Oryctolagus cuniculus: one gene and its partner. The protein of the gene in region 1 interacts with the protein of each later gene in a pairwise test. Links are inferred from orthologs where the notes say so. Each region holds a gene or a part of one and is shown on either strand. Other genes may lie near its edges.

Region 1 (3,656 bases):
TGGGAAGTGGAGCAGCCAGGTCTCAAACAGGCCAGGGCATTAACCTGCTGCACCACAGCGCTGGCCCCTGATTCAGTTTTCTGCTAATGTGCACCCTGGGAGGTAGCAGATAATTGCTCAAGTAGTTGGGTCCCTACCACTCACTGAGAAAACCCAGATTAAATGCTTAGATTATGGCTTCGATTTGGCCCAGCCAAAGCTGTTGAAGGCATTTGGGGAGTAAATAAGTGGATAGGAGATCTCTGTCTTTTGAAGTAAGTAAAAATAGGTGAGCTAATTTTAAAAAAAATAATGTAATGGGGGAAAAAGACTACCAATTAATTTTTGGTTGTATTTTCTAAACCAGGGCTTGGCAAATTTTTTTCTGTAAGGGACCACATAGTATTTTAAGTTTTGTGGACTATATACACCCTCTATTAGGATTATTCCAACTCTGTTGCTGTACTGTAAAAAAGAGACTAGTTGGAAACAATATATAATGAAATGACTGTGGCTGTGTTCCAATCAAAATTTTTAAAAATAGATGACAGGGCCAGCACTGTTGTATACTGGGTAAAGCCACCACCTGCAGTACCAGCATCCCAAATGGATGCTGGTGTCCCAGCTGCTCCACTTCAGATCCAGCTCCCTGCTAATGTGCCTTGGAAAGCAGCAGAAGATGGCTTAAGTCCCTGGGCCCCTGCACCCACATGGAAGACCCGGAAGAAGCTTCTGGCTCCTTCAAATAACTCAATGAATGAATGAATAAATTAGTAAATATCAAACAAACAAAGGGTGATGGATGACACTGGCTTAAAAAAAAAAAAATCGGGGCTGATGCTGTGGTGAGTGGCCTAAGCATCCTCCTGCAAGGCTAGCATCCCATATGGGCACTGGTTCTAGTTCCAGCTGCTCTTCTTCTGATCCAGCTCTCTGCTATGGAAAGCAGTGGAAGATGGACTAACTGCTTGGGCCCTGGCACCTGCTTTGGAATCCTGGAAGAAGCTCCTGGCTCTTGGCTTTGGACCAGCTCAGCTCCAGCCATTGCAGCCAACTGGGGAGTGAACCAGCAGATGGAAGACCTTTCTCTCTCCCTCTCTCTCTCTGTAACTCTACCTCCCAAATAATAAATAAAATCTTTAAAAAAAATAAAAAATAAAAAAGATGACCAGCCAGATTTAAACCATTTCTTCCATGATACACTACAATTAATAATACCACCAAATAAATAAAATACAATTTCTTAGACAGTAAATCTGCAAAACATAATCTGTTTTCAGGGCAACTTTCAGGTACTGAGCTCAATTCATTCAATAATGAAAGCCTAAAAAAGTTTACAGGAGTGTTTAACAAAGAAGCAGTTACTCATTCCTAAAAATGGAATTCTTATATAAAATATTAGTCTGATGACAAGCAATATACTGTTGGGGATAAAATACCTTTTTTGATGAATCTTCCTTCTCCTGGTCCTCGGAAACCTGGTCTTGATCTCTCAGGAAAATTAACTGTTATGATAAAGTTTTCCCATTATTAAGTATAATTTGAAAAATAACATTATCAGTTAAAATTTGAAAAAAATGAAAAGCAAAATATATAACCTACATAAATATGAATCAATACAAAATACACTTACCGCAATCCTGCCACAGTTTGTGGAAAAGTAAAGTAGTTTTTTGTTTCTTTGATTTATTGCCGTAAGTATCTGATTAAAAAAGAAATGAAGAAAGCAGGTGAATCACCATGATTATGTTTCCTCTCCATTAATAAACAAACAGGCGTTTTATTTCAACAAGAATATGAAAATGCTTTAAATAAATGTACATAGTATGGACTTAGTAAGTATAAAAGTGTAAAGAATGTCCCAAACCAGTGGGAAAGAATATTTTATCGTGTAAAAATGTTTCAAATATTTATCTTGTTTGCTTCTAATACCTATAAGTTAACAACATCAACTAATAAAAAATGTTCTGATAAAAGAGCCAAAACAAAGACCAGTCTGAGTGGCAAGTTTCCCCTCTTTTAAAAGGATGCACAAGAGAAAAAAATAGAGCCTCAAAAATAAAACAGAAAATTTGATAAACAGCTCAAATACTCAAACAATTCCAGATTAATCAAACCTAAGAAACAGATGTAAAGCATGTAAAGGAAAAAAAAAATCAGAGCAGGTGTTTGGCAAAGTGTTAAGTTGCTGCTTGGGATGTCTGTATCCCTTATCAGAGTGTTTGGTTTGAGTCCTGGCTATTCCACTTCCAATCCAGGTTCCTGCTAATGTACACCATAGGAGGTAGCAGGTGATGGCCCAAGTAGTTGGGTTCAGGACCATCCATGTGGGAGACCAGAACTGAGCTCCAGGCCTCTGGCATTAGCCTGGTTGAGCCCTGGTTGTTGCAGGCATTTGAAGAGTGAAATAGCAGATGGAAGATCTTTCTCTCTGCCTTTCAAATAAAATGAGTATTTTTAAAAATAGAGGAATAGAAAAAAAATGAAAACTTTCAGGAAAAGAAACATACATTAATAACACGAGGTTTCAAAGAGTTCATGGAAAGGGGGCAGGTGTTTAGCCTAGCAGTTAAAGATGCTCGCATCCCACGTTGGAGTGCCTGGGTTTGATCGGTTTCCTGGCTCTAGCTCCTGACTCCTAGTTGTTAATACAGACACTGGGAGGCAGAAATGGGGGCTCACATAATTGGGTCCCTTCCCATGTGGGAGACCCAGATTGAGTTCCTGGTTCGGCCTAGACCCCAGCCCTGCCCCAACCATTCTGAGCATCTGAAGAGTGAACCAGCAGTTGGGAGCTTTCTTTCATTCAAATAAATTAAGAAATGTTTTAAAGATTGTTTTGAGAGGCAGAGTTATAGACAGAGAGAGGGAGAGGCAGAAAGAAAGGTCTTCCATCCGCTGGCATACTCCCCAAATGGCTGCAATGGCCGGAGCCAGGCCCATCCAAAAGCCAGGAGCCAGGAGCTTCTTCCAGGTCTCCCACGTGGGTGCAGGGGCCCAAGGATTATGGGCCACCAAAATGTCATACCTTTTTCATCTGGCAGATATCTAAAATCCATAGATTCACTAACTTCCTGGTCAGAAGGTCTCCGAAGCTGCATTTTTACCGTTACTGGTTCTGTGATAGCTTTGCAATATGGTGGAGTTTTGAAAACAATGGCTACTTGACGGTGTACATCAGCTTGTGAAAAGATGCCTTTTGCTTCCCAATCATTCAATACAAAACGAACTTCTATGTCATCTAGTAAATAAGAAACCAAAGAAATAACAAAGGGAAAACAAAATAAAATCCATCTATTAATCTAAAAACATTCTGAATTTAATGAACCAAAATACAAAAATGAAGTACCTTTTTGAACTTTGTCACAAAGTAGAAATATTTCATCTCCTCCTCTTACACTTCCGCAGTTCTTGTTTACACGACAAATCCTTAATTCTGCAGTATTTGGAGCACCTACAAAGAAACAATTTTTAAAATACGAGTTTCTACCTTGGTAAAATATTTCTTTTTGAAGGGGAGGACTTGAGGAAAACTATTTAAAGAATGTTTCAGCATACAAATAAAAGATACTAAACACATTAATCATCCACATCTGTCCCTTTCTTTTCTAACTGCTTCACCTAACTTGGTTTAGAGCTTTATGATGTTATTTCTAGGAAATGATAAGTACTCCTTG
Region 2 (3,656 bases), on another chromosome or scaffold:
TTTTCATGGAAGAACTTGTCAGTCTTTGTCATATCCATTGTCATCCTCAAGGGAGGAGAGCAGCATGTAATATTTTCCAAGCTTACTCCATCATGAACTCTTTTCCTCAGCAGAGTATCTCACAGGATGCACTATGAGGCATGCTGTTCTAGAACCACATGGAGTCTATTCCCATGACACATCTAAAGCTTTATCTATAGCCCAATAACAGAAGCTCTCCTGAAGTGTCTTGATTGCAGGACATTGTGCTTGGCTCAGACCTATCTATCATCCACAGTTCAGCAATATCTAAGACTGATATGTAGGAATTTTAGATTAGAAATTGATTCTTTCCCTTCTTGTGCTCACAGGTAACAAAGAGTCTACTATTGAGCTAGACAGGGTCTCCTAATGTCTCCTCTCTACAAACTATTTCACTAAACCATCTAGAGTCACAGAATATCTGTTTTAAAAAAATTTACAAATGGAATAAACAAAACTGCACCCTTTGGGTCTCCTACAAGTCAACAAGCAATTATCAATCTGTGGATGTTCACAAATTCTGGTAAGAATGAGAAAAAAATTAATAAATTTTTAACTCTCAAAACATATGATAATCATCCATATAAATTTGATGTGAATAAGTTTCTATTATCTGGCTCATTAGAATAACAAAACTAAAATGCCACTGGATTATTTCTCATTGTTTCTCTGCCTTCAAAATTGTGGACTTTGCTACTGGGGAAAAGGAATCTGTTTAGTTCCTTATTTCTAAGATCTTTCCATTCATATTCAGGCAAAGACTGAATGGTTCTGTTTTTCTCAAAAGAGGCCTGTACACATTTGGAGAAGCCAAAATGATGCCATTTAGCAGACTGAATATCAAACTAATACAGGACTACTTACCCACCTAAAACAGTAAATGAAACAACAGCCTACTGGTGCCACAAGATGGCAATGTTTCAAAGGTTAAACTTCAGTACTATCTCAAACTCCAGACCATCCCGCTCCCCAGACTGGTGAACAAGGATCCCTTTTATTTTGACATTAACAAGCCCAACTTACAAGTTACTTAACAACATTTTTAAGAGACCTAAAAACAATGTGATACAATGCAAACTCAGAACTTAAAAAAACATTCCAAGACAGACATTCTTGTCTTTGATAAGCACGGGAGAAACGTTTTCTAACATCTGCTTCTTGGTAGAAAATATCCTATTTTTGGCAAAGAGAAATTTGTCAAGGCAATGTCATCACTTTGTTTTGTTTCGTTTTCAAGAGCTTAATATTTTTTAGAGTAAGTCATGTGAATGAGATTGTTAATTATAACATATTAAATACAATAAATGAATAAATACAATTTAGATAAATTACACATAATTTAAAAATTAAATATTTTTAAAACAAAATATAATAAATGAGTTATTATCTACCCTGATATATAGTTTTCTTTTTTAATCTTAAAAATAACCTGCATGAAACAAAACAGCAAAAAATGTTTGGTTTTTCTGAAAAGCACTAGTATGTGAATACATATATGTATATATGTAAACAACACATACATTTATTCAAGAGAGAACTTTTCTCAATGTTTAAGGCTTCTCTGCCATATCAGGTTCAACAGTGAAGGTCATGGCCTCTCAAGTTTTGGGAGTACATAAAAGCCCTTGGGGCCAGAATGGTGTTTTCAAACTGAATGGCCAGCAACCAAGAAAGGTAGTGGGAAAGACTCAAAAGCTAAGTTAATGGACCACTGAGGATCAAACAATGAGCAAAGACAATGGTGATTAGTTGGGTTAAGGAGGTGACAGCGATTAGAAACTTAAACTTTAAATGAAGAATTTGCAATGTGAAATGCAAGAAGACCTTCACCTCCTTAACTCCCCCTAATCCCCATCTCATACATACAAAATAAAGGATCAAAAATAAGAGTTCACTTTTAAGGGATCATTGATACGTTGCTTTGTTTCATTTAACTGTCTACTATTGTATTATTCTTTGTTAAGTGCAAAAACATAAAACAAGCCAAAACAAATTTGAGAAAAGTAGGTTTTGAAGGCGTATTTTAAAAGGACATGTTTATAGAAAAGATAAAAATTGTTGCAATTCCAGATGATTTGTTCCAATACCAAATCGAACCCTGAAAGCTCTTAGGCTAAAACCTATTATTTAGGGAAATCTCAAGATAAAGTCCTGAGGTTTCTATAACTGTTTATAAGGTACCTGGAAATCGTGGTTACCTATTACAGGACCACAGCCCTTCTGGTGAGCACTAGGCAATATTTGCAAAAACTTGGCTTCTGAAATTTGGGAGGGCAAGTTTTTAAGAATTCACCATTTATATAATATCTAACTAGTGGTTGTGTTTTAAATCTTGTTCAAGAAAACTGGGGTTGTATAAACACTGCTTAAAGCCTACTGAAATTTAGGAAGCAAATGTGACTGACCTACAATAAAGAGTGAAGCAGGGAGGTATTGACAAACCCCTCTCATGTTGAGAGGGTTCCTCAGTGAGTTGAGTAAATCACCTGAAGTGAACCCACACCTGTGAATTAACAATCTTCATTGATGTCCAATAGTTAAAGACACTGCCTATGTGATTTTATCACAGGCACGTTAGAATTACAGAGTTCTACAGGTAAATAAAATGTCAGACATTTTTGTTTTCAATAATTTCAATGGCATCGAGTGTCCCCTGGAAATATTCATGTCTCTTAATTAGTATTGCAGATATGTGACATCCAGAAGTAAGATAATAATTTAAAGAATATATCTCATCTTTCACAGTGCAGTAACAGAAAGATAGAAACCAGGGACAGATCATCAACGTGCTAAAGTAGTGATCAGACTGGCACACATTTCAAAAAAATCCATGGTGTGACTGCCCAGGCGAGGTGAAACTGAAGACAATGTGCTTCCTGTCAAAGAGCCAGTGAGAGAGCCAGAAAGCGAATGACTCTCTGCAGTGGTAGAATCAAAACTTGATCTTGGCCTGTGTAAGCCAGCCGCAGAGCAGGAGCGCTGAGGTGTTGAGGAACCAGACCTCTGTTCCACTACCTCATCTGGAAAGGACAAAAGAACAATTCATACATAAATTCTATTTGCCCAAGTCCTCTACGAAATTGCTATATTCAGGAGATTATATAAACATATTGGAACAAAGGCAGCTTAGTAATAAATGTCATGTTCAGTGTTTCAGGAGCAGAGGTGGTAATAGCTCTTTCCTCCTAATCCATCACTAATCAATCACAACACTTCCACATGGTCAAAATATGATCCCTAAATCCTTCTCGACAAAATATGTGGTATTAATATTGAAATCAAACTGATAGCCCCACATTTGAAGAAAACATATCATTGACAACTTAATATCTTCCATTATATCAAAAAATAATTTCACTTAATATTTTGTCTAGATTACTTAAAAACCCGTCAATATTTACCCACCATGTCTTTGAGATGATTTTAAAATCTGATCAACTAGTGCCAAGTTTTACTTTCTTAAGAGTTTATACCTGCACAGCTTCCTTACCATCAATGCTTTTAAAGTCCAAAAGATAGCTTCTATTATCAACCAGGTAAAGTTGCAAGCTCATTTTCACATAATTGCCAGTCACTGGATTTTTTCTTCTTACTCGAAGATGGTATGCATTCACTACCTAAAATAGGAAATCAAT

What was found. The genes of interacting proteins can lie anywhere in the genome.
Region 2: the proteins of REL (region 1) and PRKAA2 interact in binary tests that used the Homo sapiens proteins (3 or more experiments, as listed by UniProt). The link is inferred for Oryctolagus cuniculus from reciprocal best matches to the Homo sapiens genes REL and PRKAA2.

The regions. Positions count from the first base shown.
Region 1 is NC_091433.1:141,782,656-141,786,311, forward strand, and holds part of REL (proto-oncogene c-Rel), read right to left. Parts: intron 3,434-3,656; coding exon 3,329-3,433; intron 3,221-3,328; coding exon 3,008-3,220; intron 1,682-3,007; coding exon 1,613-1,681; intron 1,485-1,612; coding exon 1,419-1,484; intron 1-1,418. UniProt on the Homo sapiens protein: Proto-oncogene that may play a role in differentiation and lymphopoiesis.
Region 2 is NC_091438.1:116,460,495-116,464,150, forward strand, and holds part of PRKAA2 (5'-AMP-activated protein kinase catalytic subunit alpha-2), read right to left. Parts: intron 3,639-3,656; coding exon 3,512-3,638; intron 3,042-3,511; coding exon 2,803-3,041; 3' UTR 1-2,802. UniProt on the Homo sapiens protein: Catalytic subunit of AMP-activated protein kinase (AMPK), an energy sensor protein kinase that plays a key role in regulating cellular energy metabolism.